7 linked regions of the Xenopus tropicalis genome follow. The protein of the gene in region 5 interacts with the protein of the main gene of each other region in a pairwise test. Links are inferred from orthologs where the notes say so. Each region holds a gene or a part of one and is shown on either strand. Other genes may lie near its edges. The genes, in order: golga1, mfap1, ppp1r18, aamp, vps52, rnf41 and atp6v1d.

Region 1 (4,201 bases), about 44 Mb from region 5:
AGCGACTGCTCTAAAGCTGGCCATGCATGCTAAGACAAACAAATCTCTCTGATATGCCCACTTCAGGCAAACTTGATTACAATGGGCTGTTTCAATTTCAATGAGCTGATGCCGTCTCCGATCCAATGGAAAAATCAAATCTGTCTGATCGACATCTGCCCGATTATTGCCAAAACATCAATCGGTGGGGTAACCTAACCTGAAGAATAAACATGGTCTTTATAGGACATATCAGAAAGAAGCCCTCCAGTTGTCCTTGTCTACTTCTAGCCAATGGTCCTGGCAATTCTTGTTCTTGATGGGCTAGTGGGGCAACCACCTGAGGCTGAATTTTTTGTGAAGGTGCATGCGATCCTATACCTAGTGCCTAGCTGAAGGACCACTTCCTAAGTGGGTTCAGGTCACAAAATGCTATTGTTGGTACAGGTTTAGCCTCAGCTTTTGCTATTGCCCGACCTGCCACTTTGAGAACATGCTTGTTACGTACTAGCAAGCCCTCGCTGTTAGTAATGTCAGTGGCAGACAGGCTTGGACTGGGATTCAAAATTGGCCCTGGCTTTTCAAGTACACAGAGGCCCAAACAGCCCCCAAGGCCCTTCTGGCATTTGCCAGAATCCACAGATTGCCAGTCTAGGACTGGTGGCGAGCCCCTTCCATTCCATGACATCACTTACAGGTTTTGGTTCAGTTCAAAGAAAGGTTCCTTGATCTTGGGCAGGTCAGGGTTGGGCACAGGTCATAGTTTTTGTGACCTGCATATCAGGGCTACATATCCAGTGCCACCCTAGGCATCGTACCTAAATGTGCCCCTCGTGTTGACATCACTTCCAAAGTGACGTCACTCCATTGCCTATAGTTGGCCTGTACCCCTCACCCCTAGGGATTTCAATTGGTTCGATCTGGTGGCTTGGGAGGTTTTTTATTCATTTATTTAAAAAAAAAATTGTATTATATAGGTGCCCAAGGGCTGCCCCCCTAAAGCCACCTGCCTGATCCCACACCAGTAACCCCACTTTTTGGGTATGTACCCACACATCACCAATCAGGAGGGTCTCCTAGTTACATTACATACACTTACAGCCCAAATTTATTACTGAAGGGAGTTGTGGCTATCTGACAACAAGAGCCACTGCCTCAATAGATGGTGAATGTTCCATAGGAGACTGTTATACACAAGTAAAGGTTATACTCCAGGGAATGTGAGCGAATGGATAATTATGGTACACAATGGTAGTGTTTGGGGAGAGTTGCAGCTCCAGCCACCATGAATAGGAACAATGTGACAGGGCTGTAACAGGCTTAGAGAACAATGTGACAAGGCTGTAACAGGCTCAGAGAGCACAGGGACGGGGGCGGGGCTTGTGCTGCTGCGGCATAGCTGAGGTGTCACTCACAGTTATGACCACTTCCTGTGGAAGAATGAAAGAACACGCCCAGCTCTCGTTTCAACCTAGCCACGGAGCAAATAGGATATCTTTTCAGCTGTGATGTTATAACATTTGTAAGAGGTAAAAATTTCCATTCTAACCCATTTTTTCCCTCCTAGGGCTCTGTACATTTAGAGAAAGGCGGCGTATAGTACTAGGAGACGAGGCATATTACGACCCCTTTGACAGAACTCTAATGTTACTAGGGAGATGCAAGCCAGTGGGATATTGTGATAGGAAACAAGCATAGGAAGGCATGCTGCCCCTTTCACAACTACTCTCTCCCCCCCATGTTCCATTTTTCTTGTATTTGCCCTTTGCCACTTTATACAGCACATAGGGGTAGTACAGTGGCCTGTGTTTGGTGCTACTAGAAACTGCAGTGGGTTTATTGGCAAGTTCTCCCCTGTGCTAAGTGGTACATCCCAGGATACCACATTTGACCTAAACAGCTGTTGTGACCAAGCCAACAGCTGCTGTCTGCCTTCTTCAACAACCCTCCAATTGGAATCCATCTCACCTGACATTATGGGCCACATCTGCTGAGCAGCGCTTGAAATGCTGGTATCATCATTAAAGAGGGACACTAATGGAATGTAACTGTTGTGGAGCTACAGCGATGGTGTATTTTTCAGTTTTGAAAGGTATGAGACAAACACTAATACGCTGACCTTGCAACAGCACCTGTCTGGTGTCCAGGATAACATACAGGTACTTTGAACCCTTTGCATGCTTCTGACCGCTGCATACTGGGAGTTGTAGTTCAGCAATGGCTAGAGAAACAGATCCATAAGGCTGTTCTTGGGTTGCAATGGTGAACTTAGCATAGAAACCTCTAAAGTCTTCCCTTTTGGGATCAGGCATTTACTTCTCTTACCACTGGCCTGAGAAAACAAGGCAATATTTCTGATGACAACACTTTTCTGATATTCTGAACTACCAATTTCTGGGCAAAGCCTTCTGGACCAAGTAGGCAGATTGTTGACCCATGTATGGGGCCCTCTGATGGGCCCGCCTGACATATATCTGGCCAAAATCATCCAGATCTTGATTGGCCAGCTGTAAAAATCTCATCAGGGTAAAGACCACATCGGCTTCTGGTTGCGGTCCTTGCAACGATGGCCCGCATTTTTGTTGCAATGATCTGGCAGCCAAGTCGGACCTCAAGGTGGGCATATCTGGGAAAGATCCACTCTTTTTATGAGATGAGGTGGACAATATCGGGCTGATCTAATTGTTTGACTCTCTTTTTGAATGTATAGCCAGCTTATGGCCATAGCATCCAATTAGAGTTTTTCTTTAAGCAGTTTTATCTAAGAAAACAGAGGCATTTGCTGTTGTTTGCTACTTAATTTAAAGGATAAAGAAAGATGAATTCTGAGGGGTGGTTCCAATATGCACTCCCCAGTAAATAACTAACTAAATAACTAACTAAGAGAGCACTATGCTTCCGTTTTATATACCATCCCCAGGTGTCCCTAGTTCCTGCCAGTAAGGTAGGATGGTAGTGCTCCACTTTCCAGTTTTAACTAAAAGGAGCACCAGCCTGGGGATAAAAAAAAAAAAAGGGACATCTAACATATTGGCTCTCCCCAATGAATCCATTTTTCTTTGTCTTTTAAAAATACCAATGGTTTGTGAATCTTTCTATTACATTGATTAATATCTCATCTCCCATTTATTATAATGTGAGCTGAATGTATATTTACTCTTTTTTGGTTTCCTTGCGAGGCAACTTCGGAAAGCTGAAGTAAATTACTACTGGCAGGAAAACATTTAGAGGAGATTACTCGCCACTGCTAGAGGAGATTAATCGCAGGGCAACTAATCTCTTTGTGTGTCACTGGCCATAGGCTAAGGACCCATGGAGAGAGTTGGTCACGATAGATCACTGCTACTGCGAGTGACTAACTGTTCCAAATGTGTTTCCACCAGTGACTCTTTCTGAAGTTGCGCAAGGTTTCCTTCTGCAGGCAACTTTGAGTGCCTTCGGAAAGCCAAAGTGATGCATTGCCCTTTCTACTGGCAACTCCTATTGTTGTCGGTGGAAAGGCATTTTGGAGTGGGTAGTCGCACGCGGTAGCAGCAATGTATTGTAGGCGACTAACTTTATGGGTCCCTAGCCTTAGTGTTGCATGCACAATACCCCGGTATTGATCTAGAGGGGCCATAGGCATCTGAATAACATCCAGGTATCATTTTTATATAGTGATCACAATATGGATAGTTACCCAGAATGAAAGAAGGCTAGCAGTGGATGCTGGTAATTGTAGTACAGTGATGAATGGCTATATGTTTGATTGGCATGGCTAGTGGTCCCTCTTTTTTGTTATTTGTGTTTGCAAATAATGATTGCTTGAAGCTTTCCATATTTCCCTGAAATGCTTTAAAGTTTGTGTGTAGTATATGCATTTGTTTCCGTCCAGTCACTCAATTTGTGTTACGAAATCCTAACAGCTGATCTGTCAGCCTTCCCCTTTATGATTTCAGTGGCTCGTTCCTGTTGGCTGGAAAGACTGTCATTTCTGTGTGTCAGAGCAGCCTGTGGGCCGTTCAGGCTTCCCTATGTAATGGATCTGAATTTCTGCTAACTCTAACGTATGAAAGATTAGATCAGTCATGTTTCACTGCGAGGCACCTTGGTATCAGTTCCTGTTGTTGTTCTTGAGGGATCATTAGGACATGTTGCCCCTGCAATGCTTTAGGGCTCTGGCACACGGGGAGATTAGTCGCCCACGACAAATCTCCCTGTTCACGGGCGACTAATCTCCCCG
Region 2 (2,876 bases), on a different chromosome or scaffold from region 5:
CTGAGACAGGGACTCATGATTGCTTTATATGTTACTCTGTGTGTCCAATGTATGAAACCCACTTATTGTACAGCACTGCAGAATATGTTGGCGTGTTTTAAATAAATGTTAAAAATAAATAATAATATTATTGACTATATGCCTGGGTGGAAAGATTTTCAAAATTTCAGATATTTTGCCCCAAAAAGTTTAACAGCAGATCTGTATATGACTGACCATGTAACTATAATGCATGAAGCCAACCCAAATTCACTTTTCATTATAAAACTACGTACCCAGGCAACTCTTTGTCACTTGTACTGTGCTTACTTTCCAGTCAGCAGATAGCATGTGGGACAATAAAAGGTCTTGCATAGACAGATACCTGTACATCAGACCAATCCACACAAGATGCTGAATGCTGGACATGAGAAAATGGACCAGTGGCTTTCATTACTGTACAAGCAAAACAATTATTTCACAGGATTGATAGAGGGGCATACAAAAATCGTTAGGAGATATGACAGAGTAACTTTTTTATTTACAAATATTATCAAATCTTGCCTCGGTTTCAGTGTTCCTGAATGTCAAAATGATTCTAACTAAAAAATACCTTTTATAACATTTTTGAAAAAACTGTGAAAATCTCTGTTTCTCCACAGCTTGGAGAATGCTTTGTGATTTGCTAATGACAAACCCAACAATTCATTCACACATTAAAAAAAAAAACATTACATTACTTGCAAATTATATATACAGAGTATGTGCAAGTAATGGTGGTCCTTGTTTATGAGCTGCAGTTCTTTTTATAACCCAGAAAATATGGACAAGTCCCTCATAGACACGGACATTTATGTCTTTCTTTTCTGCACAGTCGGCCTCTCAAACACATCCCTTACTCCTGCTGCCTTCTGTTTGAAGAACTTTGTGTTCTGTGGATTGTCCTGACCCCAAGCAGAGTCAAATGAAGTGGTGTCCTGATCAACCAAGTGAGTATATTTTGTCCGACCTGAACGTCCAAAATTCTTGACCTGAATAAAACAGATGATATCAATTTATGAACTGGATTGGAAAACCACAGATTAAAATCTTCCATGCTATGAACCCAACATAAATGGCATAAGTAAATTGTAGCCAGTGCAAATTAAGGACATGTTTAAGATATATTGGGCTATTGTGTGGGGACTAGCAGAGGATTTCACAGCTACTGGAAATGAAAATTTTGACAAAAAAGGACAGTTTAATATTTATAACCATTTTGCTCCATAATTTCCAGTTGACTAACATCTCCCAAGCAATTTTGTTTGCTTTATATATAGAATCACTAGAAAACAAACACTTCAGTTTCTTGCTTTTGGAAAAATATTCCATTGTATTTATGTAATGGAAACATTAAGGGGTGAATGCATAATGTTTTCCCTCCTGCATATATTTTATAACAGTGTTACTGATGGCTGGCAGTTTTAGACTTTGCTAACTCTTCATTGTTCACTACCACCTTCCTAATCACATCCAGTATCCCTCCTATACTGTGATAATACACATTTTTGTGTGGCCCAGTAAAACAGGGAATCAATCTAATACTTTAGAATTCAGGCAGAGCAAAAAAAAGTAAGAAACGGCAACATTCTTGCAATTACCTGCATGACCTTGGGCAATATAGTCTTATTAAAATGATCCTCCAAGGTGGGTGCACTGAAATCCCTTTTATATACATCTTCATCTCCATCCTATGGGGGGAAAAAAAAGACAAAGCTTTCTGTAAAATAAGCTTCTGTAAAATTCATCAAAATTTATCAAAATGTGAGAGTACCGAGCTCACCACAGAAAAATTCACCAATTTCCATAATATCAGATTTTTAGAAGCAAATTTATCAAATGGTGAATTCTAACATTTACTCTTTTAAAAATCCCACAGGAATGAATATAGAATGGGTAAATTAGTTAAATAGTTCTTACCATGAAGAATGCACCTCTGTGGTAATATTTTTGCAGAAATTTGTATTTCCCCTTCAGTGCCTTGTTGGTTATTATTTTGCCGTTTGCACGCAGCTCTGCCCGTCTTTCCTCATCTGTCATGTTACGCAGACGATCAACCTCTGCCTTTTCCTTCTCCATCCTGTTACATGACACATAAACAAAATAACATTTAACTTTAGGCACACAAGTCCAGGTAAACTGTGAAAGTTATCAGTATTATCCAAAGTGTAAAGAAACCATGGCAAGCAGTAAATGAGCCGTACAGTATGACTTTATCCATAGAGTCGGGATAGAAATACTTACGCCTCTCTTTCTTCTCGGTCTCGCTTGATGCGCTTTAACTCTCTTACTTTCCAGGCTTCATATTCCTCTTCATCATTCTCATCATCTGTGTTGAGGGCATCAAGGGCTGCCAGGGATCGCTTATTCTCTTCAATCTCCTTCTTTGTTTCCTCCTCTACAATCTGTACATGAAATATTGCAGTGAGGAAGCAGAAAGTTCTAACAAAACTACCACTGCATCAAGACAAATACTTACCTTCAAGGTGTATTTCCTTCTCTCCTCTGCCATTCGTTTTGTCTCTGCCTCCAGCTCCTTCTGTTTAAGCGCCTCAGCTTCTTTTTCCTGCACAGTAACTCTGTCTTTCCTGAAATGGTTACAGCAACATACTGTAAGCCCTTTGGTATTTAACATCAAGCAGAGAGCCATTTCATATATGGAAAATCACAGTTGCTATAATTTTAAATGTCCCAAATACATTAAAGATATTTTTTTTTCAGCCTGCAGCTGCATAATGCAGGTGGGTCACAAGAAAATAAGAGCAAAGATGCTGAGATAAAATGCAGGGGAGCAGGGGAGACTACCCCCTCCCAAAAAAAAAACAGATACTGCCCCTTTAATTTGTAACCTTGGAAAC
Region 3 (4,152 bases), about 3.5 Mb from region 5:
TGGCAAAGTAATGTCCAACTTGGCACTTATTCATTGAGTGCTGTAAAGTCGAGCATCAAATGTCCTACATACAAGGACACTGCTACCGTCGGGCAAGGTGAGAATCTTGACTCGGGTGGCAGTTGCCCTGCACCAGGGCTGGCAAAAAAAATTTGCTCCTGGTATCTTTAAGAGCTGAAATTCTGGTTATTAAAGGAATACTGTCATGATTTTTATGGTGTACTTTTTATTTCTAAATTACACTGTTTACATAGCGCATAATCCACTCTTACCAGTTAAAATTTTATTCTTGAACCAACAAATGTTTTGGGGTTTTTTTTTATTGTAATATTGATGTGTAGGCAGCCATCTCAGTGCATTGTGCCGGAGTCTGAGCTTTTAGAAGGAGCCAGTGCTACACATTAGAACTGCTTTCAGGTAACCTATTGTTTCTTTTACTCCCATGTAACTGGAGGAGTCTCAAGCTGGACTTGGATTTCTTACTATTGAGTGTTATTCTGATATCTACTGGGAGCTGCTATCTTGCTACCTTCCCATTGTTCTGATGATCAGCTGCTGGGAGTGGGATGATATCACTCCAAGTTGCAGCTCAGCTGTAAAGTGTGACCGAAGTTTATCAGTGCACAGGTCACATGGCTGTAGCACCCTGGGAAATTAAGAATATGGCTAGCCCCATGTGAAATTTTAAAATTAAATATAAAAAAAAAAATCCTGTATTTTTAAAAAATGGATTACAATGCAGGATTCAGCTGGAGAAGTTTCATTAACATGCATTTTGAAAAAAAAAAACATGGTTCCTCATGACAGCATTTCTTTAAACTACAAATTTGGCTTAATTCTAGTATAGAGTGCGGTTGTGCCAGTTGGACAGCACTGATGTACACAATGCCTATTGATCTGGTTAAGGGAAGAGTACTGCAGCTAATAGCAATGACCATAGCTTTATCTATATCTATACACAGGAATGTTAACTGGCTCCTTTATAAAACTGATCATAGTGTGTGTGAATGTGATAGGGACCCTAGATTGTAAGCTTCAAAAGGGGCAGGGCCTGATGCAAAAGTATATAATATAGTATGTAATCTCTGTAAAGTACAAGTATGGGACCTGTTATACAGAATGCTCGTAGTTTTCCAGATAAGAGATCTTTCCACAATTTAGATTTCCATACCTTAAATCGACTAAAAAAGGTACTTGTATTGATTGTATTGTGTCCAATAAGAATTAATTATATCTTAGTTGGGATGAAGTACAAGGTACTGTTTTATTACTACAGAGAAAAAGGAAATCATTTAAAAAAAAAATAGAATTATTTTCTTATAATGGAGTCTATGGGTGGTGGGCTTCCTGTATTTCAGAACTTTCAAAATAAAAAGATTTCCAAATATCGCATTCCATAAATGTACTGCAAAATAGGTCAGCGCTATATAACTACAGGATAAAAATACTTGGAGTAAGAAGTATGTTCAGATTGTGATGGATTATATTTTCCCTAAATAGGATTGCTAAAAACCTTGTAGCATGGCGCACAAGCCCAAATGCATTATGCTGAATGATCAGGTTATACACAAAATAAATGCCAATGGCTAAGGCTATGATCACATGTAGCTGTTTTTTGGGCTGCATACTGGGTCAGACTGGGTTGTGCAGGGCCCATTAGTTTGCCGCCCCAGGGGCCTCAGCAGTGGCCTCCACACCCCCTCCAGGGGCACCACAGACCAACTCCATCCCTCCCAAGTGTGCTTACATTATACCTCAACACGATCAGGGAAAGGAGATCATGTCTGGGTCGTGGAAGCCCACAGAGTTAGTCCAACTCTGGCTGCATATAAATGCAGATGCAAGTAGCAGCTCAACCACTCAAATCAGCCTGGTCTGGTATCTGTGCTAATAAGCACTGCTTCAGCCTGTGTACAGTCACAGAGCAGATTTCAGTGTGAAAATGCATATTGACACTTTTCTGTGCTGAAATTCACTTTGTGTGCAGGTGAGTGGTTCATCTGTTTCTTGGCCTGCATTTATACACAGACCAAAAACCAGCTTTGTGTAACTGTTGCCTATGGTTCAGTTTCTTATACTTTGTGTGGCTTTCTAGTGTTCAGTCTGTAAATTCACCCTAACCACGCATAACTGAAGCACTCTGCATTAAGTTTTACATATGTATTGTATTGTGTTGTGTCCGTCCATATAAATAGTATAAAATATAATACATGAGGTAGCTCTTATTTCATGCACAATTTGCCTTAGTAGTATGTTATTAAACTCAAAACAAACATCCAAAAAGCTAAAACTTCTTACTGTTTAGGATATTTATGTTAAAGCATAAATAATCTGTCATGTGCTGTTGCTTAGTATTTTTTTCCATTAGTCCCATCCTGTCCCCCACTGTTGTGTGTACGTTGTACTGATTTAGTATCTTGAGTATAAAAAATACAGAATGTCTGTGTGTGTCTTGTAGTGGATATTTAAGAGCAGTCTTTGCTTTTTTTCACAATAGGGCATTAAAATGATTTTTTAAAAACTAAAAATCCCAGCATTTTCTTAAAACAAAGCCCATTTGCCTTACCGATGTCAATAGAAAAAAGTACAGTGCTATGTAAGGGTTAACTTGTCTGTAGTATCTCCCCCCACCATCCTTCCTCTCTCCACCCTCCCCCTTTACTCTTAGCATTATGCATAGCTGGAACCTCACCCTCCACCCCCCTCTCTCCTTCTGTCTGATTCAATCCCTTCTTCCTACACACCCTTCTCTTTCACTCTCTGGGAATTCCTCTCCAATGCAAAGGTTGCCCAAGCTATAAGTCCCTAGTCTTTACATTGTACATCTGTATTTGCTTTAAGGGTCTGAAGGAATTGGGCTCACTTGAAGACGTGTGACGCTTTGGGACTTTCCACAGAGAAACGCTACATATTCTTATGTTTTTGGGTTTAAGTTTAACAAAGGAAACTGCTCCAGACATCAGTTCACTTCTCCTAACATCAAGGCATCCTGCTGGGCTATAGGATGTATTAGAGGGGATTGTGCCTGCTTACTCACAATAAAGGTATGTAACATATCTGACTATATCCTGTGGGTTTCTGCATGTCATTTCATATGTGCATACAAGTACAATGAGATCACTTTTGCGCACTCTCACTTCATATCTTCCACCAACTTGTCCTCTATTCTATTTCTTTGGTGCCACTATAAAGTGTGATTCCCACTCTAGTAAGTATTTTTTGAGAGAAGAACATACTCTGATTTACCTTTTGTTTAAATCCTCACCAATCGCTACAACACAGGTTATGCAGTATATTTTCATACTTTAGTGTTATTTGTGCGATAATATACAGTCTCCTACATACATACATAGACAAACAAATATATAGACTTAACATCCTTCTCACTGTTTAAATCTATTTTACTCGGTGCATAGAAAGTACTGCTGTGTATGCAGCTGCCTATTTTTTTGCTTTTGTCTTTACCTTCCATGAATCTCCTAAACCTTAGCGATGTACATCTCCTCCGTTTTCTGTAGAACTGTCAGTGCATCTCCCTCTTTCCTGTTTGCCCACTCATCTCTTGCAGGCATGTCTGAATTATTTGTATCTAGTTCTCCTATTTTGCTTTTTCTCCCTTTTCAGAATGTATGTTTTACATTTCTTTGTCTGGTTCAGCAGTATGGCTATCTGTCAGTCTAGACAATTCCATCCTCCTCATTTTAATTTGGTTGCTCCAATTGTTCCACAGATCTGTATCTGAAGAGTTTCCCAACTTGAAGACCAGACAATTATAATCTGTAAGATTTTGTTTGTACCATGAGAAAAACAGATGTATAAAGGTTGATACTAAACAGTTTTAAATTTTAATTCAAAATTGTAATGCCTTATACTGAAAATACTTTCAGAACCTTAGTTACATTATCTAGACCCTTATTTTGTATAAAACATTGCAGAATTGTTTTGTCCATACATTTAATTAAGCCCTCTAACAGTGTATTTCAGCCTTTTCTTACCCCCATGCTTATTTCTCTTTTTATTCTGCGTATCCTCTTTCTCTTCCTCTTTCTCTTCCTCTCTAATGAACTCTACACATGCTTCTTTATATGTCATTTGACTTTTTAAGTGTAACTTTCTTTTTTAGCTGTATGAAATTATTTTCCTGTCATTACT
Region 4 (4,142 bases), on a different chromosome or scaffold from region 5:
TCAGTACCAGCGCTTGGGGGCCAATAATCCCTGTCTCACACTGTATATAGTATGCTTGGGGTGTCAGTGCCCAGCGCTTGGGGGCCAATAATCCCTGTCTCACACTGTATATAGTATGCTTGGGGTGTCAGTACCAGCGCTTGGGGGCCAATAATCCCTGTCTCACACTGTATATAGTATGCTTGGGGTGTCAGTACCAGCGCTTGGGGGCCAATAATCCCTGTCTCACACTGTATATAGTATGCTTGGGGTGTCAGGGCCTAGCGCTTGGGGGCCAATAATCCCTGTCTCACACTGTATATAGTATGCTTGGGGTGTCAGGGCCTAGCGCTTGGGGGGCCACATTGTGCCATGAAATGTTGGGGGCCAATGGAACAAGAGAGGTGAAAGGGCGGGGTTACCCATCAGTCACAGAGTGAGAGACAGGGGCTATTTGCCCACCCAGCCCTGGAATCCTGTGGGGGGGGGGGGGGGGGGGGGGGGGCACCAAAACAGCCCCTATTGGAGGCCCCGCAGTTTATAAGACAGGGGAGGGGACTGAGGAGGGATGGGTGACTGGGTGACTGGGTGACTGGGTGACTGGGTGACTGGGTGACTGGGTGACTGGGTGACAGGAAGCCCTACCTTTCCAGCTGTGGTTGAACTACAACTCCCACCAACAGGAGGGCTGCAGGATACACATCCTTGTTATTAACATTAGGATTATAAAACAGTAAATTAAATATTATTTACCCCCGGGTCCCTATGAAGCTGGGAGCCTCTGCCCTACACTAAAGCAAACCCTGACCGGCTATGTCTGGAACCCACTGCCAATATCTGTCCAGTTAATAAACAACATTTCCCAGCATCCCCAGAGAGTGCCCCTTCCCTAAACAGGAAACAGGAAACCTTCAATCTTACCCCACGGCTTCCCTCTTCTCACTGACCCCAACATCCCTCTCACGGCCGCCGCCATATTGCCTGTTTGTAACCAGGCGCGTCACGGTTACATCCTGACAGGCGCAAGGCATTCTGGGTGTAGTAGTTCCCGCGCAGAATTTGACGTGTTAGAAAACTTCCATGTCCGGCATGCACTAGTACGCGCCTGCGCAGTAAGCCTTGTTTATGTTCTCCTTGCTGAGCGGTCACACTCCCATGCTAGGATACGCGGGGCACTGGATTGGCTTAGAGCCGCAGTGCTCACTTCCTATTGGCTGCGCGTCGCTGCTTTCCAGCAGCTGATGGAACAAGTTTGGTTGTGCGGAAGCGCAGGGCTGAGGAGGGGTTCCCACGTGTGTGTGAGACTTGGCCTGCCGGAGGGACCGCCTGCTGGAGGGAACGCCTGCTCTGGGGTATCGCTACGGTAACCGGTTGCAAAGTAAAGGTACAAAGTGTGACTGGTGGGCGTGTGTGGGGAAGTGTCGGAGGGCAGATCAGCTCCTTGGGGCCCTCCTTTCCCATCTGTGCCTTTTGCTTCCTACGGTCCAGGAAAGTGATGTTGGGGTGACTTTACTAAGTCCCTGAGGGCCCCTGGGCTACAGGTCTCCCCATTAAACAGCAATCCTGAGTATTCAGCCTAAAGGAACCAATGCAACAGATTATATACAGATTATATACAGATTATATACAGATTATATACAGATGTCCAATGGCTGTGTGTTATCTGTACATGTATTGGCCATTATGCACTGCTGGCTTCTGCTACATTGCTGCAGGAGTCACAACCAACAGTGCAGAGAAGATAAGCAGGCCGCTCTTTTAAATAGCAATTACAGTTACAAATTGTGTAATGAATTTATAGCTCTTTAAGTTTATTCCCCTTATGTACCCAGTGTGGGACTGGGACCCCAGGGCCCCACCAGGAAACCTTAGACCCTAGGCCTACTTTCCAAACTATTTTTCCTCCTTTCCTCACCCAACCTCTCTATTCTCCTAGTCTCCTTTATTTACATGCTAGCATCTATTCTTCCATCTATTTCCCCTCTATCTTCCCATTCAGAAATAGGGAATGGCCATGAAACAGGCCAAATGGGCAGGAGCAGGGGGGCCCACTGACACCTGGGCACCCCGGGAGTTTTCCTGGTATCCTGGTGGGCCAGTCCGACACTGTATGTACATGTATGTTCTCCAGATTTATTGCCAGAGAGACCTGCTACTGGCGCTGTTAGCTATTTAATAAATATTTCCCTTCAAGGCTGCTGTCTCCGCTGCTGATTGCTGTTATGCCAGCGTTGGTAAGGCTGTGCCCGTAACCCAGTGATATCTTGGGAACGGAGAGGGAGCCTTTAAAGGGAAAGATTTATTGCAAGTTAAGAGGAACTGTTCCTGAGTAGTGATTTCCCAGGATTTCTAATCTCCCCTGTAGAGATCACAGCATCGCCCTGTGTCCCAATCCTCAGAAGACGATGGAAGGAGCCGGAGCCGGGGAGGCTGGAGGTTCTGGGTCTCCCAGCCCTGAGGCCGAAGAAGCCCAGGCGCAAGCTGCACAGTTTCACGAGGATGAGGAGATCATTGAGGTGCTGGAGCTGAACGACGTAGAACCAGATCCAGGTATCTCTGATTGATTCGTATTCCTTGAAACCCCCCCTACGTATCCAGATACTGCGCAGAGTTCCAGCCGTGCCCATTATGTTTGGCATAGGCGCACAATTTTGGGTGAACCCTGTACCTTGTGACTTTTATATAAAGTAGTAGATGCACCAAATCCATTATTTTTGGGTTTGGCTGAATCCTTTTTGAAAGATTTGTCCAAATATCGTACCGAATCCTAAGCTGCAAGGATTTGGGTTTGGCCAGACACCTGCATTCGGCCAAATCAGAATCCTGCTGAAAAAGGCAGAATCTTTGCCAAAACCTGAACCAAATCCTGGATTCGCTGTCTCCTTAATATGAAGACACACAATGTATTGCACACTATTAATGCAAGCAACAAGGGTCTTTGGTTTCCTTTCTGTGTGGACCATACCATGCTCTTAGATTGGGAGAGGGGAATAAAGTGGTAACTATTAAACTATTTTTACAAATAGACTGGGCGTTATAAGAACCCCCAAGCCAGCTCCTGGTGTGTCTGGTTCTGACAACCCAGCTGTGACACTACATGGGCAAACGTATCTACACCTGCTTGTCCCACATTAAATTCCTAAACCAAGAGCATTAATATGAAGTTGCCCCTTTGCTGCTATAACTGCCCCTACCCTTCTGGGAAGGTTCCCACTAGATGTTGGAACAGTGTTGCTGGGAGTTGCTCCCATTCAGCCACAAGAGCATTAGTGAGGTTGGGCACTGATGTTGGGGATCAGGCTCACAGTCGGGGTTCCATTCCACAGGGGTTCAGTTGGGTTGCCCCTCCCCTTGCTGCTATAACTGCCCCTGCCCTTCTGGAAAGGTTCCCACTAGATGTTGGAACAGTGTTGCTGGGAGTTGCTCCCATTAGTGAGGTTGGGCAGTGATGTTGGGGATCAGGCTCACAGTTGGGGTTCCAATTCATCCCACAGGGGTTCAGTTGGGTTGCCCCTCCCATTGCTGCTATAACTGCCCCTGCCCTTCTGGGAAGGTTCCCACTAGATGGTGGAACAGTGTTGCTGGGAGTTGCTCCCATTCAGCCATAAGAGCGTTAGTGAGGTTGGGCAGTAATGTTGGGGATCAGGCCGGGCTCACAGTTTGGGTTCCAAATCAATTGGTTGAGGTCAGAGCTCTGTGCAGTCTGTGTCCTCCACTTGTCCGCAAACCCATTCTATATGGACCTGGCATTGTACATGGGGCATTATTGTTCTGAAACAGGAAAGATTATAATTCTATATGCAGGGTACATGCCTGACCCTTCTTGTAGAAATGTATATGTTGTTATGGAGAGGTTAATGCCCTGCTGACTGTCTGTCTTGCCCAGATGATTTGGCCAGCGACATGGAGGACGTCGACTTTGCAGATGATCCTGAAGATGGGGAAATGGCTGATAATGAGGAATGGGAGACAGAGGATGAGGGAGTGGAAGAAGGAACGGACCCCCATGACGACAGTGAGCTGACATTCTCCAAACATACAGGTGAGACCTGGCAGTGTCCTCTCAAGGGGCAAATAGAGTGCATTATAAGCCAACACAAGGGGGTGCCAATGGTGTATAAAGATAAGCCAAGTCTGTGCTTGTAGTATGACTTGGATCACAT
Region 5 (2,300 bases):
CTGTTACACTGGTAATCTGCTACCTTACAAGGACCAAACAAGTAGTTTCAGTTATCCTGTATAGAACAGGGGGCAAAAACCATATTAAAAACAATAGAGAAAAAGTATGTTAAACTTAAGCCCTATTCATTGCATCCATGTTTAACAAGGGGTATTCCTACTAAAAAAATAATTTTTTTGCCTAATAAAAGAAAACATAATTCCAAGCAACTTTTTAATATCAACTTATTAAAAGTTATTAGTAAATGTAATTTCTATAGAAAGCAGCATTTGCTGAACTCCTGGTTGTTACTTTTTAAACAATGTTGCAAGTGCCGGGCTCCTCCAGCAAGTCAGGTCTGTAAAATCTGCTGGTGTTTTGTTACATTGTTTCAAATGCCAGAGCGACCAGAGCAGATAATAGAAAGGACAGGCAGACAGTTCTTTTAATAGCAAATATATATATACATACAAATAACTAGAAACCCATTGCAAATATGTAATGCGTGTATATTGCAAAGTTGCTAAGAATTAAGTTTTCTTTAATTAAGCAAAAAATTATTTTTGGGGTTGACATGTCCTTTAATCTCTTTTAAAAGAATGACATTCAGTATGGACATCCATACAGGTAGCTGTTGGAGGGCTAGTACTTTAGATCTCTTCCTTACTCTTTTAAAAGATATATTATTAGAGTGGGGATTGGATAACATGCATGTAACATTCCAGTGTAGTAAAACAGCCTTCGTTTAGATACTGTGTTTAAAGAGCCTGCAAGACTTTCTTGTGACATACATATTGACTGGCAGAGAGAGTGCTCTGGTGTCTTTATAGGCTTATTGGAACTATCTCAAACATAAGCTACATAATTGGGTCTCAGATGTTTCTCTTAAGCCTTACTTGCACTTAAATGTTAATAGAAAGCGATGGAGGGAACTCTAAATCTTTGTATTGTATGTTAATTGCTCTTGACACAGAGCAACGTTTTCTTTTGTAACATTTTAGTAAATGTGGCTTTTAATACTGGTTTGTATCTATTTTTGCTTAAACTGTGTGGATAATTTAAAACAAAGATGTGTGTAGATATATATATACAGGTATAAAAATGTAGCCATAGCACTTTGGAACCCTTGTCTGTTATTGCTTCTAGTAAAGAACATAACTCCTTTACAACGAATGTGTTATCGTGTCCACAAAGGACTTGCAACTGCATCTTCCTTTAAGTTGTGGCATTTTACATTAAAACCCCTATGCATTTAGAATGTATTACCCCTGTACTTTCTACTAGCTAAGCTAGTGTTCTCAATCTGCACAGGCCTGTTTCAGCTATTGCTCATTAGCACCTCACTGTCCCCGGGGAATGGATAAGCTGCAATAACATTCAAATGACTGCACAGGAAATTATACATTTTCTTCATGCTGTGAGACTACATAAAACTATACATATTTATCCAAGATTTGTTACCAGTAGTAAACTTTATTTTACCCATACATTTAGTTCTGGCATGATTTTACAAGCAATAGTTAAGCATAGGAAGAGAATGCCATTAAATATATTTAAACTCAAACATTTGGTGGAGCTACCTGTTTACCTGTTGGTACAGGTATCTTACTGACTTAGCAAGGCAAAAGCACTTGCTCTTTCATTGTTAAGAAATTTACATCACTTGATGCATCTCAGATTAGTGTTATATACACAGGTAACAGAATCAGTTTTATGATACTTCCTACTTCTACCTTCTTGGGTTCAGAAATTAGGCTTATGTTTTTTGAGCTCAACCATTAGGTGATGCAGGTTTATTAATTCTGAGCATACAGGCAGATTCCTGAGTGGCGGCTGGGAGAGTATCTTATGGAAGCGGTGATAATACTGGATCAGCTGTGTTAATGCACCCTGTAAAAATGGAGAGAGTTAGAATAAAAGGAAGAACCCAAATAAAGGTCTCTCTTAAATAGCCCTTCCTAATTCCCTTACTTGTATAATGCTAGTTCCATTCTTAAAGTTGGTAAATGACCTCATAACATCCTGACTCAGATTCTCCACTGCTTGTTTCCATGTTGATGAGAACCCCCGTACAAGCTGAGCAACACGTGCTACAAGAAATTCAGACCGTTACTTTATGCAGTGAGTGACAATAAAAACAAATAGTAAGACTTGTTAAAATACAAACATCCTGTACCCTCTTCACTTCTGAGTCGTTCCTGCTGTCCCTTCTCAATTAGAGATTCTGACTCCTTGACAAATGCAATCATTCCTCCAAATGATGGAGCGAGTATCTCTTCAATAAACTCCTGGCATTTTAAACAGTACAAGGACAAAATCA
Region 6 (3,500 bases), on a different chromosome or scaffold from region 5:
CCTGCTCACATGTCACCGGTCGCTTTGGATTATGTTCACAGTCACTAAGGTGAGACATGAGGTTGTCAAGTCGCACAATGGTGGTACAGCCAAAAACTGCGTTGTCACATGTAATTTGCAACTTTGATAGCATATTCCGCATGATGCGGGGAACTGGTCGTAAATGGGCGACAGTCACAACACTGCGGTCGACAGGACAGGTTTGTTGCTGAGAGAACCACTGGGTAATGCAAGCATTGCAGAATGCGTGCTCGCAGTGAGGAGCCTGCAAGTTGAAGACATGCATAAATAAGTATATCTTGTTTAAAAGCAAATGAGTTTGGATACAATATAATCCACATTTACAAAAGATTTTTAGGAATAAGTTTGTGGCCTTATAAGGTAGATATAATGAACAACACAACACATTACCATAATTAAAGAACATAGGACAATAAATCTATCACCCAACACTTACCTCTGACATACCATCTTACCAACTACATATACTTAATATATGGTCATCTTACTAACTACATACAGGTATGAGATCAGTTACCCAGAAACCCGTTACCCAGAAAGCTCCATATTATGGGAAAGCAATCTCCCATAGACTCCATTTTAATCAAATTAAAAAAAATTATTTCCTTTTCTTTGTAATAAAACAGTGCCTTGTATTTGATCCAAACAAAAGATAAAACTAATCCTTATTGGATACAAAACAATCAAATTGTGGTTCTGATGTTCAAATCATTTTTCAGTAGACTTAAGGTATAGAGATCTGAATTACAGAAAGAGTCCTTATCCAGAAATCCCCAGGCCCCAAGCATTCTGGATAACAGGTCTCATACCTGTACATAAAATGACAATGTAGAAAATGACCTGCAATACCGAAGTCTTACTTTCTATTCCTTGAAGAGCAAGGCTGCCCTGACTGTCCTACAATGAACCACTCTCTGTTAGTGGTATGAGTTGTAGCACTTGTAGAATATTACACATCCCTGGGTGATACAATATAAGTGCAAATACATCAAACATACAGATTACAAGTACACAAAAGACAAAGAAAGGTAAAGTCACTGGAGGGAAAATAACTTGTTAAACCCCCTTCAGTAACTCATTGGTGCACTAGTCAGGGCAGTTTATGGCGGTGGGGAGCCAGCTTATTCACAGCAATTCTCTACACCAGGTCAGGCATGGCACATGTGCACAAACATTTGGGAAAGTTTTGGAAAGAAGGTGGCTGCCCACCCTACCATAAAATTCACCAGGCAGCAATTTTTGAAGACGTGGAAAGGTGGCCCTGGGTATGGAGTTAGTGATTAAAGTTAGTGATTAAAGTTACTCGGTACCTAAAAAACTTGTACCCCAGAGCTTCCATTGTACTTGAAGGCACAATAAATGACTTCATATGCTGTGTTTAGTTTCCCTACCAACTGACTATAACGTTATGTAAACTAAAAAGCTTCAATCAACACAAATATATGATAAGTAAAAAAATAAATAGCAAAAGCAAAAGCCTAAAAAAAGGTTTAGTATTCCAAATCCCTTAACATAGCATACATTTGTCATCGTATATAAATGGTCTAGCATTGGTCATGTTAGTAGCTGGTCTACATATAAACTTAGTTTAAGCTAATTTTACAAATGATAAACTATTCATACAAATAGTTAAAAAAAAAAAACACTCAAAACAATAAAATAGAAATGAAAAAAAAAAATAATATAAGCTAATATACTATCTTGGCATAACAGACAAGATTAAATTGGCAAATAAAAAGGTACACAGGGAAATAGCGTAACAAACCCTCAATAAACTGTAGTTCAGCAACAGATAAAGGTAGCATGGTGGCAGCAGGGATTAAGGTCTAGGAAGTGGACTATCAGCAAACCTCTCATAATTCACCTTGTGGCAGAGGAGGCAGACAATAAATGTCCTTAAAGAAACATAAGAGTTACAGAGGTACATATACGGCTTACTGAGTTGGCAACAAGTGCACAAACTGCAGCTACACTAGAATACAAGTAGAATTGTCCAAGCACAGGATCTACACTGCTTGATTCACATTTTAGTGTTACCTTGGAAAGTAGAAGCTCAACGGAACAAGTTTCCCTGGCTCTTGGAGGAGGGAAGACAGAATGAGATCTAGGGACAGTGCAAGACAAGCAGAGTAGAAGCATTAGGAAAGCAGGCTGGTTCATGTGACCGGCACTTACATATCCCACAGGGGCATTAAAGTGCCCACTTGGCAGAATTGCAGAACACTCCCAGACGCTGATCTGTTACTTAGCGTACAGATTATTTATTTCTGGTGAAGGGCTGCATGCACAAGCATATCATCAGCCAATAAAGAGAAATATTTATAATACAGCTTTTTTTTTTTTTTTTTTTTTTTAAATAGTGTTTTGTTTAGACTTGGACCTTCTGTCTCTAGCACTGGCTTTCGTTCAACTTTTGAAATCAGCATATTCACCAAGGACAAGAAGGGATATTGTAACACCCCTACTGTATAAAACAGCAGTGTCAAGATTTAAATTTGGGTTGAATAGAACAGACGATAGATGGATACCTAGATAGCACCCAGGTTTGGTGGCTGCCATGTCCAGCCACTTGACTTCATATCCCTCCAGTTGCTGACCAGGAGAATGCACAGTTGAAGTCAGGACCAGATCGAATTCAATTGGACATGCCTCTGATAGGCAACTCCTGCCAGATATCTAGGAGACCAGATGTCAAGCTCCAGTAGGGAGGAGGGACCATGAAAGCATGCACAGCACAAGGGAAAAACAGCCAGTTACAACGCCTGAAGCAGCACAAGCTAAATTCCTGATTTTTTGCTTTGCTTCAATTTTAAGATTCAAATTCATGACAGGAGTAGTGGATGAAGGAATGCATGTATGATTGTATAGGTTTGGAATCTACCTTTAGGAAGCCCATTATCCAGAAAGCATTTAGGGCTTTTACACACAGCCATCATGTTGCATTCCATCTGCGCTCTGTGCTTGCACGTGCCTGAATGAGTACAGTCTGACAGGGAAGAATGGGCTGTGTATTTTCCTGCACTCTTCTTCGGCAGAATGCAGGGTAAAACGTACATGTGTAAAGGTCCATGTCACAGCATTCTATTTAGGGCACCTACACTCCAGATGAGGGAAACACAGATATAGGTATATCTATTATCCAAAATGATCAAGACCTAAGGCTTTACAGATAAGGGATAAAGGAATCCTTATTTGGATCACAAGACCTTAAATCTGCTAAAAATTATCTAAACATTGAATAAAATCAATAGAATTGTTTTGCCACCAATATGGATTTATGCAGCTTAGTTTGGATCAAGTACAAGGCATTGTTTTATTTCTACAGAGAAAAAGAAAATCGATTTTAAAAATAAGAATCATTTCCTTAAAATGGAACCTACAGGATATTGCCTTCTCACAATTCAGAGCTTTCTGGATAACAGATCCTATACCTGTACCATATCACTACACCCTGCCAAGAAACGTAACCATGCAGGTTG
Region 7 (4,127 bases), about 47 Mb from region 5:
TTTGCACACACACAGGATAAGGAACCTCTGCCAAAATGTTTCTAAATGAACATCCTACATTGTGCCTGGGGGCTGCCATGTTTCTTGGCTCAGCTGAGGCATTCTGCATAGAGAGCAATAGCATTGCCACCATTGTTATACTCAGCGGGGGGTTATTATTGCAGCCTATGGAAAAGCACAGCAGCCAGGTGAACCAAACACTTTCCCTTGTCCCAATGTGACTGCTACCGGTTCCCTCCATCCCTTCCTTGCTGGAACCAAACCCGGGGCCAGTATATTCCTGCTTGGCTGCCAGGCAGTGTTGCCTAAACAGAGCGCTTGTTTACACTGAGCACCCGGACAAAAACTCAAAACTGGCCACATTCCTGGCAAGGAACATAATGATGTGTGGGGGCTGGGGGGGCAGTTCCCCCCCAAAGTGCAGGAGTCTCTGTCTCTTGAATAACAACAAATAGCATTTATATAGTGATAAAAGCTCCCTGTATTGTCAAACATAAGGATATTTTAAGGTCACGGAACTCCGAGGTGACGTCTAATATCCTCATATCTTACAAGAGGGGGTACATTATTAATTACAATACACAACTTTCAGCGAGTCGTGTGACAGAAATGACACCACTGAGCGCTGTTTGTATAGATGTAGTTCATAGGATATTCATGGCTCTTATTTATTCTACAGGTATAGGACCCGTTATCCAGAATGCTCAGGACCAATTGTATTCCGGAAAAGGGGTCTTTCCGTAATTTGAATCTCTATAACTTAAGTCTACAAAAAATCACTAAAACATTAATTAAACCCAATAGGATTGTTTTGCATCCAATAAGGATTAATTATATCTTAGTTGGGATCAACTACAAAGTACTGTTTTATTATTACAGAGAAAAAGAAAATCAGTTTTAAAATTTGAAATTATTTGATTAAAATGGAGTCTATGGGAGACGGGTTTTCTGTATTTCAGAGCTTTCTGGCTGGATAACAGGTTTCCGGATAAGGGATTCCCTACTTGTATATAATTTTAGTTATGTGACTATATAGCAGCGACGCTGAATTAGTATATATTAAAAGAGTGGCTTGTTTCAATAGTCAGAACCAGCAGTGCAAAGGACTGACTGAGAGAAATAATGGAAATGTGCAATAACTGTATATAGGGAAGAGGAAAAAAAAATATATATATATACACAGACATATTTACAGTATCCCCTTTCATCAGCAGAAAGGTCAGTGTGTGTAGTCACAACCTTCTCCCTGCCATTAGGGAACTACAAGTTTCAGGAAGTCACAGAGCAGGGAGGGGAACGTACAGGCTAAACACAGGCAAGTGAACTGTGTAACTGTGTGTAACTGTGTGAGTGTGTAACTGTGTGAGTGAGTGTGTAACTGTGTGAGTGAGTGTGTAACTGTGTGGGTGAGTGTGTAACTGTGTGGGTGAGTGTGTAACTGTGTGGGTGAGTGTGTAACTGTGTGGGTGAGTGTGTAACTGTGTGAGTGAGTGTGTAACTGTGTGAGTGAGTGTGTAACTGTGTGAGTGAGTGTGTAACTGTGTGGGTGAGTGTGTAACTGTGTGGGTGAGTGTGTAACTGTGTGAGTGAGTGTGTAACTGTGTGAGTGAGTGTGTAACTGTGTGAGTGAGTGTGTAACTGTGTGAGTGAGTGTGTAACTGTGTGAGTGAGTGTGTAACTGTGTGGGTGAGTGTGTAACTGTGTGGGTGAGTGTGTAACTGTGTGGGTGAGTGTGTAACTGTGTGGGTGAGTGTGTAACTGTGTGGGTGAGTGTGTAACTGTGTGGGTGAGTGTGTAACTGTGTGGGTGAGTGTGTAACTGTGTGGGTGAGTGTGTAACTGTGTGGGTGAGTGTGTAACTGTGTGGGTGAGTGTGTAACTGTGTGGGTGAGTGTGTAACTGTGCGTATATAGTGAGGCTGCCGCACTCCCCAGCCGACACAAGTGCATGGGTTTGGCTAGTACTATGCAGCCGGCTAGCAGCTCCCATATCCCCCAGCCTAACATGGGCTCACTAGCAGCAATGGCTGGGCGCTCAGGGGCAAGGGGTGCTGGTCCCCCCAAATGGAAAAGGGTGTATATCATTAATTAGGATGTCTCAGGCCTCTGCTGAACTGCATCTCCCACTATCCCACTGATGGCCTTTAGCTGCCATTGCATGTATGTATATCTTTATTTATAAAGTGCTACTTATGTACGCAGCGCTGTACAGTAGAATACATTAATACAAACGGGGTTATTAAAATAATAATAGATAAATACAAAGTATAACAATAAATACAGATAAATACAAGATACAGTTGCAATAAGTTAAGAGTCAAAGACACAGAGGATGGAGGTCCCTGCCCTGCAGAGCTTACAATCTATATATCCATTAAGGTAGTGGGAGTTGCTGAAGGGCCCCAGGTAACAGCTGAACCCTTACACAGAATGCTTTGCCTTTGCTGCTAGTATCTGTTCCTATCCCACCCTAAACCCAAGCCAGTGGGTGAATATCACACACACACATTTATCTATCTATTTTATATATATCTTTATACACTACAGGGATCCCCCCATCAACACATACCCCTATGAGCCATTTGCCTGCCTGTAACCCCACTGACAAATACCCCAAAAGATTATAACCAACAAGGGACATCTGTGGCTCTAGTTATTGCAGAACTACAGATCCCAGAATTCCACGCCAGCAGATGCCCAAGCCCCCGATCACGGGTATATCTGACCGTATCACCATACTTACATCCTGGAAGGGAACACCTCGATCCTGTCCTTGCCCGACATCTTGACCTGCGATCTGCTTCTCCCCTCACTGACACTCGGATTCCTGCGGCAGAACCAAGAAAGCGAGAGATTGTCACGTGATCCAGGAAGGGAGGGCGTGGTTCTGTCACCTGAACATCTCTCGTCATGTGATCCGCAGCAGACGGAAAAATGCTGCGCCTGCGCACGAAGAGCGTTTTGAACTGTATTAGCTTGTCAGACGTTTTATGGGTTTCTGCACCCACATCGGAATATTTTATTCGTATTCCTTTTTTAATATGATATGAGTTACACGAAACAACATTTTAAAGCGATAATGTTCCATCTTCAATATGGCGCCCTGTAACCTCCTAACCCCGTAATGGTAGCACCGACTTCCGCTTCCGGTGTCAGCGCTGTAGTTGTGGGGTTGCGCATGCGTGTTGTTCTTTGCCGGAACGCATGCTGATGAAATAGTGCGGCGTGAGCTGAAGGAGCCCGCCCGGTGCCAACGTTCTGTTTGATCGTAGGGAACATCAGCCAAGTAAGGCTCCGACTCATGTATCTGTTCTAATAGCCGCCTTGGCCGCTCTGCTGTGGAGCTTTAGCGGCGTGGAATCGCCCTTCTATAACTATCTGTACAGGCTAGCGCGGGACACTGGGAGTTGTGGTTCTACTGTAGTTGGATGGGAATTCCCTGCAGATTCCTGTAAAACGTGTTAAAGCGATCTACCCACCCTTATACAAACGTGCTATGGCTGCTGTATATGTACGGTGGGTAACATCTCGCCTTCTAGCTGTCCCAGAACCATCTCCCTGCTGGGGCCTTTGTTAAAGGGGAATTCTCCTTAAAAAAGAAAGTGTGTTTTCTATAATGAAAGATAATGTTCTGAGTAACTTAGTTTACATTCATTGCACATTGTCAGGAAACTTGAACTTATTGGGACATGTAACGGGAATTAAAGCAGTGTTTAGCCTTTACTGTTCTCTGGTTCTGACTGTAGGAACATTGTAGCAGAATTCAGTTCTCCTCTAGATTTGTTTACCTGTTGGCTTGTGCTACATTGTTTCAGGAGTCAGAGCCAGCAGTGCAGATTATATTGCTTTCAACCTGCTGACAGCCAGCTGTTGTTGAATCTGCAGCCCTCAGCAGTTGGTGGATGCTGGCACTTGAAGTACACAGAGGCCCAAACATCCCCAATAAATAGTAACTGGCTATTACAGGGGTCCCCAACCTTTCTTACTCGTGAGCCACAGTCAAATGTAAAAAGACTTGGAGAGCAACACAAGCACCATAAAAGTTCACGGAGGAGCCAAATAAGGGCCAAAACGTTAGTGGCCGATTGAACGATCTTTCATGCGACCAAAAGATCTGAAATCGCCACGT

Evidence for each region.
Region 1: the proteins of vps52 (region 5) and golga1 interact in binary tests that used the Homo sapiens proteins (3 or more experiments, as listed by UniProt). The two-hybrid records come from large-scale screens. The link is inferred for Xenopus tropicalis from reciprocal best matches to the Homo sapiens genes VPS52 and GOLGA1.
Region 2: the proteins of vps52 (region 5) and mfap1 interact in binary tests that used the Homo sapiens proteins (3 or more experiments, as listed by UniProt). The two-hybrid records come from large-scale screens. The link is inferred for Xenopus tropicalis from reciprocal best matches to the Homo sapiens genes VPS52 and MFAP1.
Region 3: the proteins of vps52 (region 5) and ppp1r18 interact in binary tests that used the Homo sapiens proteins (3 or more experiments, as listed by UniProt). The two-hybrid records come from large-scale screens. The link is inferred for Xenopus tropicalis from reciprocal best matches to the Homo sapiens genes VPS52 and PPP1R18.
Region 4: the proteins of vps52 (region 5) and aamp interact in a two-hybrid assay, tested with the Homo sapiens proteins (2 studies listed by BioGRID and IntAct). The link is inferred for Xenopus tropicalis from reciprocal best matches to the Homo sapiens genes VPS52 and AAMP.
Region 6: the proteins of vps52 (region 5) and rnf41 interact in binary tests that used the Homo sapiens proteins (3 or more experiments, as listed by UniProt). The link is inferred for Xenopus tropicalis from reciprocal best matches to the Homo sapiens genes VPS52 and RNF41.
Region 7: the proteins of vps52 (region 5) and atp6v1d interact in binary tests that used the Homo sapiens proteins (3 or more experiments, as listed by UniProt). The two-hybrid records come from large-scale screens. The link is inferred for Xenopus tropicalis from reciprocal best matches to the Homo sapiens genes VPS52 and ATP6V1D.

What each region holds. Positions count from the first base shown.
Region 1 is NC_030684.2:28,208,733-28,212,933, forward strand, and holds the start of golga1 (golgin subfamily A member 1), read left to right. Parts: upstream 1-1,401; 5' UTR 1,402-1,508; intron 1,509-1,547; exon of another isoform or gene 1,548-2,071; intron 2,072-2,119; exon of another isoform or gene 2,120-2,138; intron 2,139-4,201. UniProt on the Homo sapiens protein: Involved in vesicular trafficking at the Golgi apparatus level. Involved in endosome-to-Golgi trafficking. Mechanistically, captures transport vesicles arriving from endosomes via the protein TBC1D23.
Region 2 is NC_030679.2:107,681,155-107,684,030, forward strand, and holds the end of mfap1 (microfibrillar-associated protein 1), read right to left. Parts: intron 2,607-2,876; coding exon 2,498-2,606; intron 2,424-2,497; coding exon 2,263-2,423; intron 2,099-2,262; coding exon 1,939-2,098; intron 1,710-1,938; coding exon 1,620-1,709; intron 1,011-1,619; coding exon 831-1,010; 3' UTR 501-830; downstream 1-500. UniProt on the Homo sapiens protein: Involved in pre-mRNA splicing as a component of the spliceosome.
Region 3 is NC_030684.2:75,522,123-75,526,274, reverse strand, and holds the start of ppp1r18 (phostensin), read left to right. Parts: upstream 1-1,352; 5' UTR 1,353-3,044; intron 3,045-3,086; exon of another isoform or gene 3,087-3,208; intron 3,209-3,730; exon of another isoform or gene 3,731-3,779; intron 3,780-4,152.
Region 4 is NC_030685.2:85,162,780-85,166,921, forward strand, and holds the start of aamp (angio-associated migratory cell protein), read left to right. Parts: upstream 1-1,342; 5' UTR 1,343-1,363; intron 1,364-2,344; 5' UTR 2,345-2,384; coding exon 2,385-2,529; intron 2,530-3,865; coding exon 3,866-4,021; intron 4,022-4,142. Other genes in the region: uncharacterized protein LOC100488277, read right to left, coding at 901-955. UniProt on the Homo sapiens protein: Plays a role in angiogenesis and cell migration. In smooth muscle cell migration, may act through the RhoA pathway.
Region 5 is NC_030684.2:72,052,502-72,054,801, forward strand, and holds the end of vps52 (vacuolar protein sorting-associated protein 52 homolog), read right to left. Parts: intron 2,269-2,300; coding exon 2,157-2,268; intron 2,071-2,156; coding exon 1,952-2,070; intron 1,871-1,951; coding exon 1,724-1,870; 3' UTR 501-1,723; downstream 1-500. UniProt on the Homo sapiens protein: Acts as a component of the GARP complex that is involved in retrograde transport from early and late endosomes to the trans-Golgi network (TGN).
Region 6 is NC_030678.2:137,450,486-137,453,985, reverse strand, and holds part of rnf41 (E3 ubiquitin-protein ligase NRDP1), read right to left. Parts: intron 3,116-3,500; exon of another isoform or gene 2,918-3,115; coding exon of another isoform or gene 2,903-2,917; intron 1,893-2,902; exon of another isoform or gene 1,787-1,892; intron 266-1,786; coding exon 1-265. UniProt on the Homo sapiens protein: Acts as E3 ubiquitin-protein ligase and regulates the degradation of target proteins. Polyubiquitinates MYD88. Negatively regulates MYD88-dependent production of pro-inflammatory cytokines.
Region 7 is NC_030684.2:119,233,308-119,237,434, reverse strand, and holds the start of atp6v1d (V-type proton ATPase subunit D), read right to left. Parts: upstream 2,801-4,127; 5' UTR 2,783-2,800; coding exon 2,742-2,782; intron 1-2,741. UniProt on the Homo sapiens protein: Subunit of the V1 complex of vacuolar(H+)-ATPase (V-ATPase), a multisubunit enzyme composed of a peripheral complex (V1) that hydrolyzes ATP and a membrane integral complex (V0) that translocates protons.